Mytilus edulis: one gene and its partner. The protein of the gene in region 1 purifies or fractionates together with the protein of each later gene. This does not show direct contact. Links are inferred from orthologs where the notes say so. Each region holds a gene or a part of one and is shown on either strand. Other genes may lie near its edges.

Region 1 (7,351 bases):
AAAAATAATAATACTTTCTAAATAAAGTCATGAGTGGGATTCTGTCAAAGTTTTATTTTGTGTTGAATAACTCTTAATCATGTTTTGGTTAGTGTATTCACCGTGTAGAACGCCACATGCGGGGTGTCGGCTATGTTTGACATGGGGTGGCAATTTTGAAGCGACGAAAAAGTAACAAGGTAAGTTCAAGCATCAAAATTTCTTATTTTTAGAACTCTCAGTATCATATAATATATTGCACGGAAGGAACAGCAACAAAATCTATTTCCTGAAAGCAGAAGCAGTCGTTTTCAGTGCTCAGTTTTCTCAAACACCTCGCCCTACTTTTCCGTGTTGCAGATTTTGAGGCTTTATATGCCAATTTCGGTATAAAAACTACTTTACACAGCTACCCTCCGTACCATGTATATAGAATTGTATTCCTCTCATTGACTTATACCAAATACCAGTTTCTTAGTTAAAATCAATTGGTTTTAAAACTGTTATTCATCAAAATATAAAGTGTCGCTCGGGGTGTCAGATTTTGCGTCGAAAGGGGTAGAGGCTTGTCATAAAAAATACATATTTGTATGTAAATTAGCCTTCATATGATACATTTTATTTCAAACACATCTACTTTACCATGACAAAATAGGATTTTTCATTTTGCCTGTTTTTCGTCTTATAAAAGATATGATTTGATTTCATTCACATCTACTTTACCATGACAAAATAAGGGTTTTTCATTTTGCCTGTTTTTGGTCTTATAAAACATGTGCTTTTGATTTCATTCATAGTAAAAAATGACTCAACATATTTAGTTTCCAAGCTGGTAAACGATTTCTTTTCCTTTTCAGTCACTATCATGGTAAAAAAAGGCAAGGCTATGGCTCAATAAACCAAAACATGGTGGAAAATCACAAAATAGTCCTTAATATAAGAAGCCTCCACCAGCAAAAATGCATCATAGTTCATCACCAGGTTCATCTAAAAAGCACTCATGCACGCCGCCAAAAACCATCACTCCTAAAAGAATTAGAACACTTTCTCCAATGAAACACTCACCGGCATCTTTTTCAGCGAATGACAACACAACTTCAAGTAATCCTGAAGACGATGATACTACAATTGTCAATGAGAAAACAACGACTTATACACAAATATACAACGGAACAGGTTTACAAGAAAATATGATTCAAGACAGTTATTTCGTTCATAATCGCCCAGCTAGAACTACATACCTTAAGTTTGTAATTTGTCATCATAACAGTGTAGGTGTGTTTGAATTAAAAAGTATCAGATAGAGATCGATTTATAAGAAAATGTATTCTTTTTTATGACAAGCCTCTACCCCTTGCGACACAAAATCTGACACCCCGAGCGACACTTTATATTTTGATGAATAACAGTTTTAAAACCAATTAATTTTAACCAAGAAACTGGTATTTGGTATAAATCAAAGAGACGAATACAATTCTATATAAATGATATGGAGGTTAGCTGTGTAAAGTAGTTTTTTATACCGAAATTGGCAAATAAAGCCTCAAATCTGCAACCCGGAAAACTAGGGCGAGGTGTTTGAGAAAACTAAGCACTGAAAACGACTGCTTCTGCTTTCAGGAAATAGATTATGTTGCGGTTCCTTCCGTGCAATACATTATATGGTACTGAGAGTTCTAAAAATAAGAAATTTTGATGCTTGAACTTACCTTGTTTAATTTGTTACTTTTTCGTCGCTTCAAAATTGCCACCCCATGTCAAACATAGCCGACACCCCGCATGTGGCAATCTACACGGTGGTATTGCTATAACTTTGTTTCACTGACTTGATTCAAAATAAAGTGAGATTCTGACTAGGTTTTTTTTTGTTTTTGTGTGTTGTATAAATTTTATCATGTTTTGGTTATAATTCGTGTATTGCTATATTTTATTGTTTCATTGTTTCAGATCAAAGGGACCAAGCTGTTAAAAACAATTATCTTTTGTGTTTTTCGTTTAAAATCTTCAATGTTTTACTGAGGGGGGATAGGAAGGGTCTTGATCCCGAAATCCCGGACTTGAAAAAACGAAATCCCGAGGTCCCGAACTTAAATAAAGCAAATCCTGAAATCCCGAAATCCGAAAAAAAGGATTCCCGGATCCCGAAATCCCGAGCTTAAAAACACCCGATTCAGAGTCCCGATAAAGGTCCTATCCCCCCTCTTTACTCATATCAAGCTATAAATACATTCAGTATTTACACCAAAGCAATTTAAAACAACAATCATGATTTTCCAATTATTCGACTGGAATTTTGTATTAAAATTGGGCGCGAACGTGTAGAGTGCGAACGGACATTGGGTGCGAACGTGCGAGGTGCGAACGTGTAGGGTGCGAAAGTGTATTGGGCGCGAACGGACCTGATACCCATTTTTACAATCAATGGATTACATACACCTTATCGCTATTTGTCTGCCATTGCTGGAAATCATACAGGTTCCCGTAAAATTTTGACGTCATAAAACAAAATGTCTGACGCCACAATGGAAAAGTGATTGTTGTTGACGTCAAAAGTTCAAGCGGACGGGTCAGCCGGGAATACACCTTATCGCTATTCCCGGCTGACCCGTCCGCTTGAACTTTTGACGTCAACAACAATCACTTTTCCATTGTGGCGTCAGACATTTTGTTTTATGACGTCAAAATTTTACGGGAACCTGTGTGATTTCCAGCAATGGCGGACAAATAGCGATAAGGTGTATAGCGATAAGGTGTATTGATGCTGGGAACAGTATATCTATATATATGTTCCTGATTGATGGAATACATCCTAACATTCTGCCTATTTCTGGCTGCATGATCACCTCAAAAAATGCAGTGCCTTATTAAACTTATCTGTTATTAACTAATGATTAATCGACTGTTTTGTTAACGACATAACAGTCTTACTTACTTTGGCTTTGCTTCTTCTTCAGAAATCATTTTTGTTTTTAAAGAACCGGATATACCAAAACAATTGTAAAAAATTAATTAAATCGGAAAAGAACCGTTGAAAAAACGGGTTAAATAGGATTGCATGAACATGGAATATGTATAAAGTTGTCACTGTATGTTGAGATAATGCATATTTCATCGTATAGATATTGATAACCAATTAATGTTATATGTATTTTTATTGAATGCGATTCGTGAACAATAAAAATACGGATATTCGGACTGTCCATACAACTATCGTTTATTATTTTACTAATGTAAACATCCGCTATAAACAATGAAATGCATCAACTGCGGAACAAAGTGTAATAGTCTTTATAGACATTACTCTAAAGATATAATACAACTGGAACACTGCGTAAGTAATATTTCATATTTAGAAAGACAATATATGACACATAGCATACCCCAAACATTGAATGCATCACATAATGAACTTCGTTTTGTTGCAACACAATTTCACATGTCTTCTTCTTTTTCAACTCTATACTAAAGTGTAATAAACTCGGGCGCATCTCAAAATGACAGGAGGACAGGCAAAACTTGATGGTATTTACAATGAAATATTAATCTTAATTACATCTATGTACACATGTTATCCTGCTGTCTACAATTAATGTATTTCAGATGTGGCTGGGTCCAGGGGGTGGTATTCACTCTGGACCCGAATTCCTCTAGTGATCCGGACTCCACTATATATTGGGGGAGTTAATTCCATTCTCTAGTTGTTCTTGGGAAGAATGAGTGGGAGTAGTTTGTCTACATTAGTGGTTGTCCCTTGTCCTACTATCCCTTGTTGTGCAGTATTTGGCTGGATCAATGGCAATCAACTGGTGTTGGTTCTTGTTATACAACACGAGGCTCTGTTTCCGTCGTCTGTGCAGCAGTGATTCCCATTGAAGTTGGTCCAGTAGCTTAGTAACATATTCAGGAGAGTTGTCCTGGTAGCAACTATAAACAAAGCGAGCTGCTGGTCTGTGTTCCCATTCTTCCAGCGAGATTTAAATAGGTCTTTTTGCAGCAAGTCTGCATCCTCTGTTTTCCTAATGCAGCGGAAGAGTAGATCTACAGTCATCAGCTTACAGTCGAGCACTTGATGTTGGTGCTTCTGGGAGGTCGTTGATATAGACCAGAAAGAGGAAGGGACCCATCTAAGTGTCCTGGGGTATTCCAGATATCACGTAAAGAGGGTCCGACTTGTGGTTTTCGAGAATGACAGACTGAGTTCTGTTGGACAGAAACTGTTTTATCCATTGAATCTGGAAACCTCTTACTCCGTAGTAATCCATTTTATGAAGTAGTCTGGCATGTGGCACCTTATCAAAGGCCTTAGCGAAGTTTATCAGGATGATGTCTGTCTGGTCGCCGTCCTCCATGTTCTTAGCTATTTCGTGTATAGTTATTACCAGCTGGAATTCGCATAATCGTTTGGTTCTAAACCCATGTTGTTCGTTGCAAAGTATGGTGTTTTGTTCATAGTGGTCCATGATAGAACTGTGGATTATGTGCTCTAGCACCTTACATGTGATGGATGTCAAGGACTCTGGACGGTAATTTGCTGCTGTGTTTTTTTTTACCTTTCTTAAAGACTGGGACTATGTTGGTTGACCTCCAATCTTCTGGTACTGATCCCTGGTCCATTGACAGTTGGTATAGTCTTGTCAGGTAAGATGATAGTTGATCAGGAGTATTCTTGAGAATGAAGGCTGGTATGTCAATCAGTCATCTGGGCCAATTACCTTAAACGGTCTTAGTCCTCTAAGTAGTCTAGTGACACCATTCCGACTGATTTTTATTGGTCTCGTGGTTGGATGTGGGCTTGGCCCTTTATCTGGCATGTTGTTTAGGTCTTCTTGGGTGTATATTGAATGGAATTGGTTGTTTAGTATAGCAGCTTTTGTTGGTGTGTCGCTATGTAGTATCCATCTTTATTTTTAGAATTGTTATACCTGAAGATTCCTGTTTCCTACTCTTTATGTATGACCAAAATCTTTTTGGGTTCTTGTTTAAATCTCCACAGACTATATTTTGCATGCATTTTGTATGTGCTCGTCTAGACGCTCGTTGAAGTTCAGCTCTGATGTTTTTATACCGTTTGACTTTCCAGTCCTTTGGTGAGTTGTTGTGTTTTGCCTTGGAGTTAGCTCTTGGTTTCTGTTTGCTCAATTGTCTCAGTTGGGTATTCACCCAAGGGTGGCTCTGTCTAGCAATTGATATTTGACATTTGCTGATATGTCCACTAATACTATGTCATGATAGCTATTTCCTATAGTATGGGTGGCAGTGTTTTAAATCTCTCTCTCAGGGGTGGCTTGTAAACATCTGGTCTAGTATTTTCTTTCCTCTTGTATTGTTGTTATTTATTTGCTGGATTGACAAATCAGCTGACATCTGTCACTTCGAAAAAAACGAAAGCCGTAAAGAAGTTTCCGCCATGTTGTTGAAGATTAATATGCACGAGCAAATGATGATCAATGATAGATGGACTATGCTAATCAAGTATATATAGAGAGTGCATTTTTAGATTGACAGATAATTGAACTACTTTACATTCCTGTCATCTCTAACAACTACCCAAAACTAATACAATAAGAGAGAGAACAAAAAAAAAAGCAAGAAGCAAAATAAGTGTATCAACGCTACAATCATTAAATGTTAAATTTCTAGATGAGTATTCGTCAAGCTCACACGACTTTTTGAACTATGACCGTGACCTCATACGTTCAAAACCAAACTGTAACACTAAGACCTTCTGGTCTTTTAGCAAGTAGCACAATCGCACATTGCAGGAGTCCAAGAAGGCCTCACATATGTACAAAGCGAACAAATCACAAACACAAACATCCTTCAAGTCTGTATTCCCAAGAGAAGGACAAGGGACCAAGCACATTTCCACATATGGCTCAATTACATTAGTGTACACGCTTCTCAAAAATCTTTATAAACCACACAAAGCTGAAGGACCCGACTAAGTACCAGCTATTTTTTTGAAGGAGCTGCCCAGTGTTTTATCTAATACACCAGACTTCAATCAACCTTTACACGGTTCTAGACATCTGGATAGTAAGACAAGTTAGACATGTCTTAAAAATGGAAACAAGAGCAAAGCTGCTATCAACATGCCGGTTTCATTGACTTTCATGTTCCAATATTGTTGTTGGGCATATTCTACATTCTACCATAAATAAACTCATCATAGAAACCAGAAATGAAATTTGTGTTTGCGCCAGATGATCGTTTCGTCTACAAATGCATCATCAGTGACAACACTTACAAAAAAATCCCTTATTGATGCTCAGAATAGATTCTTGAGTAGACGTTTTAGTGAAACATAGCTTATCGCAACCATCCAAGACTTTGCAAAAGACGTTCAATATATATAAGTTATCAAAGGTACCAGGAAAAGTCCAGGATTATAATTTAGTACGCCAGACGCGCGTTTCGTCTACATAAGACTCACCAGTGACGCTCATATCAAAACATTTATAAACCAAACAAGTACAAAGGTTGAAGAGCATTGAGGATCCAAAATTCCAAAAAGTTGTACCAAATACGGCTAAGGTAATCTATGCCTGGGATAAGAAAATCCTTAGTTTTTCGAAAAATTCAAAGTTTTGTTTCATAAAAATTACCACTTTATTGATATTCATGTCAACACCGAAGTGTTGACTACTGGGCTGGTGATACCCTCGGGGACGAAACGTCCACCAGCAGTGGCATCGACCCAGTGGTGTAAATAGGTATCAAAGGTACCAGGATTATAATTTAGTACGCCAGACGCGCGTTTCGTCTACATAAGACAGATGCCGTAATACTTGATTTTAGGAAAACCTCCGTCAAGTTACCACATCAAAGATTGTTCCTCTCAAGTTCCAAAACTGTAGAATCAGCTGTTCAGTCCTGAAATGATATGGTAACTTCATACGCAGAAGAAGGCGACATGTCCAAGTAGAGGGAGCATGTCAACGTCATATGACCCTATTATTTCTTACTTTTAAAAATGATTCTCAAATTTCTGACTTTTTAATTAATGAACTAACTGAAATTTGGGTTCTTTTTTTAAACAGTTTGATGATGACTGTTTGATCCCCAAGAACATAGAAACAAAGTTAATATCCGACACGAACATCCAACCAGAACCATGGGAAAAGTGGCGGTAATCTGGCAAATGATTTCTATCCACATAGCGATAAAGGGTATATGCGCGTAGTATAATCAATACCATATACATCCTTATGGCCACACAATAGAGACATGCAATGTTAGCAAATACTGTTGACAATCAGCCAAGATCTATCATGATACACTCGCATTGATTAGACAACAGCCAAGGCTTCAAGAACAGTTTGGTTCTTCAGACTATCAAAAGGACCTTTCAAGAGCGAGTAAATCCCTGGCA
Region 2 (7,253 bases), on another chromosome or scaffold:
TAACAGCTGGATACCAGCCAAAGACTGGATGCCCACTATAGGGCAACCATAGTGTCAGTGTTTAAAAAGCCATAATGGTAAGATTAACCTGAAATTAAGAAAAACAATAATTAATTGAAATGTAATTACTAATAAAAAAGTCAGTACAATTTCTAGATGCAAATAAAAATATTTTCTTCTCATATACAAATTTTCCTTGAATGGTATACTGTATATTGGATACCATTTATTCTCTTGACCAAGTGCTTTCCAATTATGTGCCATATACTATTTTATATATAATTAACTTGTTCAAGTAAGAAGTCATTCTGTTGGACGCTGCATTGTAAAATTGAGAAAGGAAATGGGGAATGTGTCAAAGCGACAACAACCCAACCATAAAGTTGACAACAGCCTAAGGCCACAAACGGGTCTTCAATGTAGCGAGAAACTCCAGCACCTGGAGGCTTCCTTCAGCTGGCCCCTTAAAAAGTATGTATACTAGTACAGTGATAAAGGACGTCATACTAAACTCCGAATTATACACAAGAAACTAAAATTAAAAATCATACAAGACTAACAAAGGCCAGAGGCTCCTGACTTGGGACAGGCGCAAAGTTGTGGTGGGTTAAACATGTTAATGAGATCTCAACCCTCCACCTATACCTCTAGCCAATGTAGAAAAGTAAACGTATAACAATACGCATATTAAAATTCACTTTCAGTTCAAGAGAAGTCATAATATAATCTGTATTGTATTATAAATCAATAAAAATTTGTACTATTCCAATCACCATGTAAATGTATTTTCCTTAATTTAAGCTTGCAAAGAGTCATTAAAAACACACAAAGGTGTCAATATTTACACACCCATCGATAAGTTGTCATAAATCACACATGTGGTCGCTGGCCAGTATACTAGTATGATATCAAGCAGGTGTGTTGTATTCTAAATAGTTTCTGCCAGATACATTGGCCACACTCAATGAACTGATTATATGGGGACGAAGTCCCCAATAACAGTAGAAAAATCAATAATAAAAAAAAATTTTAAAAAAATCAGGAAATTTAATTTTCCCAAAATTTTCATTGTACTAATGAACTCAAAATCGTTCAATTTTTTTGATGTCATGTTTTGAATTCCCACATCTGCGCAGAAATCTACAATGTACTTCCTTTTTCTGGTCTCGTTTTTGTGAAACTTTGAGTAAAATATATATTTATCAGTCTAGTATAAAATAGAAAGGAACGCAATACCAATTTCATTTTTTTTATAATTCCTCGATATGAAAAAACGTTACCTGATGAAAGCGTTTCTTGGTTTACATTGCATATGATGTCATAACTTAAATAACGTCACAACTAAAAATCCCTAACAACAGAACCAAAATTGGAAACGTTACGGTATTTCCGTTTCTTTTTTTTAACAAATATTTAAGGTTCAAAAAAATAATTCATACAGACTTCGTCCCCATTTACAGGTAATGCCTGCCTCATATTAGCCTTGCAAGTGCCTCACCCCTATTAACATACATGTACAGTGGTCTCGCTAGCCCAAAATAGAAGGGCGCCGCACCCTGGGTGCCCTCAGCCGCGCCCTGGGTGCCTTCATCCGCGCCCTTCTGCCCTGACGTCTTTTTCCAAAATTCTCTTGTGCCGTTTTGGTAAAATTGCTTTTTGTTTCATCGATTTCTGATCTCCAAGTTAATTACATATATGACACCTGTGTGATTGCCCCCAGGTTAATCATGTCATTACAATCAATTACAATGATAAAGACTTCAAAGGTGTTAATAACTAGGTAATTTAATTAGGACAATGTATCTTTTTGTCATACTTTTGATGAACGTGTCAGCAAGTGTGTTTAGGTTGGGTCGGCATTTTCGATTTCCAAGTCACAATGAAAGAGTGTATAAATGAAGACTTTCATGACTTTAGAATTGAATTTAAGTCATCAAAATAAAACTATGCCTTCACAGAAATGCCTTCCATCTCAACTTGTTAGCGACAAGCACAGTTTTTAATTAACGCAAACGTGTTGGAAATTAATTTTGGAGTTACTTCCCCTGTTTTAGCTTATTACAAATTTGTGCTCTAAAAATATTATCTAGTATCAAAAAAAGGAATAAAGAACCAATTGAATATATAATAACATAATAATGTTACCTTAAGGATATTAACTGTCTTTGAACATATTAAAAAAAATATATTGCAATTTCTGTTTGATAATTATACTTTTAGCAATCCATGTTCTAAACATTGATAAATTAGTAATACACTACAAAGTTAGATAAATAACATATAAAAGCTGAAATTCTTATAAAGATAAAAAAAAAATTCTTCGACAATGGGTAGAGTGAAGTTAAACTATAAACACTTTTATAAGTTGATGAAGATGTACTATATAATTCATAACTACACAAACAATGAAATAAAGACTATAGTTAAAATGCATCTTTATTTAAAAAAAACAACATATACAGTAAAAAAAAAAGAGATTCGTTAACTCGTGATACACACAGAAACGTAGACAAAAAAAATGGCAGTGCCTTTTCTTATCATAAAAAGTGCCCTGCCCTCCACTGGCACCCTGCCCCTTTTGATTTCTAGCTAGAGCACTGCATGTACATGTATATATACCAATATAATTATTTAAGTTTACCTTTATTGACTATAAAGACATTCAATGGATATAAATGAACAAATTTATAGCAAATCATAGCACTATATTCCCGATCATAGTGAGATATGCCAAGAAAATTGCATAACAAGTATGAAACACTGTGTATGTCACTTCTTCAAAAGTTCTTGTGACCTTAACCATGTTAACATGTTCAAGATATTTTTGTTAATTCAACCAAAGCATTCGAGTTTTGCATTACCTGATCAAGAGGACAGAACATTATTGTCGCAAACAGTGTAGAGGGAGTATGTAAAGTTGGTGTTTATGCTTAGTTTAGACATAATTTTTATATAATTTCTATTTTTTTGACGTGGTGAAATATAAACAGGAAACGACGATTCAAATTTATTAACCAAATCAAATCTGGAGAAATGTTCCGGAAATATGTCCGATTCTTAAAAGAGGCCCCTCATGGGGTAGTCCAAGTAATCACAGAATCATTTACGATTTTTTGTTTCAACAAGATAATCAAGTGGTCAATATACTGTGTTGGATCTGTAATCTGGTAATAAACTTTTTGTTCATATCCTTAAAAAAATTTGATCTTTTACATAAATTCGTATTTGTATTTTTTATTTTAATTTCACTACTGTAGAAGTCATAAAACAAATAATTTTAACTTTTGTCCATGTCATAGTGACACGTTAAAATTTGGTTTTGTGGTTATTTAATTTTGTAGCTGGGTTACTATGTCATGGGCATATAACCCCACATCTCCTTTTATTCATCATAGACTCATGGGTTCAAATGATACAACAAAAGGTGGTTTGTTAGAAAAAAACTGTAAAGTGACAAAAAATTACTACGTTTTGCAACTTTAGTCTAAAGGTTTTAAACTATTTTACAAGTGACGCCGCTCACGATATCCCCGGCAGAATTCATCATGGACAAACGGAAAATACTCTATATATATGTGAAACAGGAGAAGCGCTTTCTGTGTTTGTTACTTAAGTTATTATATCGAAAGCTAGTTAAAAAAAAAGCAGCTAGCTGGGACTATTATACTAATGATATTATAATAGTCCCAGCACCTAGTGACTATTCAAATTAAATCGCAGGAAAAAGTTTTAAAAAAGAAGAAAAATACCGAACTAGCTCCGAGGAAATTTCGAAACGGAAAATTCCTAAGCAAATCATTTTTGGCAAAATCAAATTTTCAAACACCAAATAAATGGATGACAACTGTCATATTCATGACTTGGTTCAGGCATTTTCTGAAGTATAAATGGTGGATTAAACCATACAGTCGCATACAATTCCATTATATTGATAACGATGTGTGAACAAAACAAACACAAAAAGATAGATAAAAATATCAAAACTTGATAGGGGTGCAGCAGTCAACATTGTGTTTTAACACGCCTGGTAAACCAACAATCTAATCTCAACCAAATGGTTGAGACGGAAAAAAGTATTCTGGCACTTCCTGTTGAGCTTTTCTGGTTCAAAATATTGAAAATAAACACAGGGTAGGTCGATTTTTTGTCGATTTACTGAAAATTAACGACTTTTTTTGTAAATCGGAGAATGTCATGCCATAGACAAATCATAATTGTAACTAATATGTCTCTTCTTGGTTTAAAATATTTTAAATTGAAGTCACAATCACTTTTCTCCTACGGATTATAATGTTTACATTCTTTAAATACGATAGAAGTGCTATGATATTAATGACTTAGCAAGAAAATATGTCAATAATTTGTGTTTTTTTAGGCTTTACGATAACCACGTCTGTAAATTGCACAAATATGTGTTTGTCAAGCCTACTCTGAGCAAAAAATAAAAAAATTAAAATTGGTTGAGATATAAAGGTATTGGTTGAATCTTTCTGTCACAATGTTGAGACTTTCTGGTTGCGCTGTACTATTCGAGTTTACCTTTTTTTATGGTTAACCTGATTCATGTTCTCTGTCTAGGGTAACATAAAATCTAAATACAGATACAATTTTAAGCATTGCCGATAGAAAAATGCATGCCTTACAAATATAAATAAGATTATTTTACAATGGTTATTCATTCATATGATTTGGATGAATTCGATTCCTAACAGACAATATTTGATGCCGAAAATGCGTACATTTATAAAGAAATAAAATAGTTAAAAACTAAACAATCGAACAGGACCCCTTTTCTAGGTTTATTTTTTCTTACACATTATTTCAGGGAGAGGATAATTTAAATGTGAGTAAAAGATGTCATTTTTGTCATTATAATACTTATCACAAAAAAAAAATATGACGATTTTAAAATTGCTTTGTAATTATTATAAGTGACGTCCAACTTAGTGTAATCACAGGTGTTGTATTGAAATAATTAAAACTTAGATATTTGTTTACAACTGCATTCAGGGCACATCCTTAATATTTGGTAATATTCAGCAACATTTATATTATAACCCGGGCCCCGTCACACTAGGTCTCGCACTACGATTTCTAAAAAAATAATGCTATTGACGATCGTAGTGCAGTTTGGTTGTGTTACGGTCTTGATGAGTTCTTGGTGATCGTGTTGAGAGTAGCCAACTTTTAACATGTTCAAAACAATCGTGATGCGTTCGTGGCGAAATCAGGTCGCAGTTCTGTTCTAGTCGTAGATTTTTTTAGCCGTGGAACTGTCGTTCCAGATTGAACTGTGTAAATCAGTTCTAGGTAGAACTTACCAATGACCAAATCAGTTCTTGATTAGAACTGTTTAAGCTAGAACAGTCTTAAAGTGTCAGGAGATAGTTCAACATTTGTCCTCCAGTTCTCCTTCAGATTATGACAGTAAGAGGTAATCTATATTGCATGTACATCTCCTTTGCAATTATCTACTTTAAATAATAACTTTTGATGAAATGAAAGAATTTAATGAATATCCATTTCTGAATATTAATTCAGTTTTCTTTTTAAATATTTTAAAACTGGATTCGACGTAGCTTAATTGTGGGAGATAGTTAAAAAAAAATTGTGTGTATGCTAAGCATGCGATATCTGCTAAAAACTGTGGTCACACCTTACCAGATAGCTCGAACGAACGTCGAAAGGATAAACAAAAGTTTTCGATTTACAAAATTTGCATCCGTTAGGAGTCCGTGATGTAATGGCCAAATAAAACGGACGTGTTATATGCCGAAAAATGGGACGGAAGAGGAATAAAAAAAAATGTCAGAATAAAAAGCCAATAATTTTGCCTGATCATGATTGAGAAGTTGAGCCAAAAATATTCATGGTACTAAAGAAAACTAACATACCAATAATTGCCTTTTCTTACGCGATTTGTTTTCAATTTGTATGTATCCGTTTTATTATCAATGTTCTTTCTGTGGTACGATTGCCAATGATACAACTCTCCAAAAGGGACCAAAATGACACATAAAGTAACAACTAGAGGTCGCCGTATAGCCTTCAATAATAAGCAAAGCCCATACTGCATAGACAGCTATAAAAGGCCCCAAAATGACAATGTAAAACAATTGTAACGAGAAAACTAACGGCCTTGTAAATATAAAAAAAAATGAACGAACAACAAATATGTAACACATAAATAAATAAATAATTAATAGCCCTGGAGATGTCAATTACAACATTATTGACGTTAAAGCTTCTGTGCAAAACTGCATCTCAAACGCTAGAATTAATCTCCAGCGTTAGAACTTTAATACTAGTACTTAAAAAACACAGCTATTTACTATTTAGACTCTATTACAACCAAAGGCCTCTTTAGAAGCTGCTGTCATAACTACAGACAAGATTAAAATGACTGTTGAAATGTCAAACAATATACGGCAAGTTTATGAATTTTGACAGTTGTAAGCTACACAAGGTCATGTTTTTCTCTGACTGTTTATGACGTCTTTACACTAAATTAATTTGATGTGTACGGATTGATAGTTTAGTCTTAGATGCATGATTTTTTTATTAGTTGTTAATGGCTTTTAACTAGCTGTCAGATAACTGCGAGTACTCTCAAATCTGTTCCTAGTGTCTTTTTGTTGTCGGGATGTTCAAGAACCCGGCCACGTCCAATTGCATTTTTGTTCATCTGATGAGTTAAACCTTTTTCAACTGATTTTTATAGCTCGTTCTTATGTTGTACTGTTATATATACCACTGTTCCAGGTAAGGGGGAGGGTTGGGATCCCGCTAACATGTTTAACCCCTCCACATTATTTATGTATGTGCCTGTCCCAAGTCAGGAGCCTGTAATTCAGTGGTTGTCGTTTGTTTATGTGCTGCATATTGAATCATATTTGTTTTCCGTTATTTATTTATTTTTTATACAGATAAGGTCTTTATAGTTTTCTCGTTTAAATTGTTTTACATTGTCATATCGGGGCCTTTTATAGCTGACTATGCGGTATCGGCTTTGCTCATTGTTGAAGGCCGTACGGTGACCTATAGTTGTCAATGTCTGTGTCATGTTGGTCTCTTGTGGACAGTTGTCCCATTGGCAGTCATACCACATCTTCTTTTTATAGTTGAAAATTTCATTCACCAGAAGATCTCAACATTGTTCCAGAATATCTCAACCGATACCAGAAAATCTCAACATGACATACTTTATAACATATTTAGCTTTAGGAAATTATATTAGTAAAGAAAAAGAACAA

The links. Proteins that work in one complex are often made in the same cells at the same time.
Region 2: the proteins of ribonuclease P protein subunit p20-like (region 1) and inhibitor of Bruton tyrosine kinase-like purify together in Homo sapiens (affinity purification with mass spectrometry; 3 studies listed by BioGRID and IntAct, with this or other methods). This does not show direct contact. The link is inferred for Mytilus edulis from reciprocal best matches to the Homo sapiens genes POP7 and IBTK.

What each region holds. Positions count from the first base shown.
Region 1 is NC_092346.1:9,585,032-9,592,382, forward strand, and holds the start of ribonuclease P protein subunit p20-like, read right to left. Parts: upstream 3,017-7,351; 5' UTR 2,941-3,016; coding exon 2,912-2,940; intron 1-2,911. Other genes in the region: protein ARV1-like, read left to right, coding at 3,230-3,310. UniProt on the Homo sapiens protein: Component of ribonuclease P, a ribonucleoprotein complex that generates mature tRNA molecules by cleaving their 5'-ends. Also a component of the MRP ribonuclease complex, which cleaves pre-rRNA sequences.
Region 2 is NC_092353.1:20,080,554-20,087,806, reverse strand, and holds the start of inhibitor of Bruton tyrosine kinase-like, read right to left. Parts: upstream 3,028-7,253; 5' UTR 2,862-3,027; intron 89-2,861; 5' UTR 1-88. UniProt on the Homo sapiens protein: Acts as an inhibitor of BTK tyrosine kinase activity, thereby playing a role in B-cell development. Down-regulates BTK kinase activity, leading to interference with BTK-mediated calcium mobilization and NF-kappa-B-driven transcription.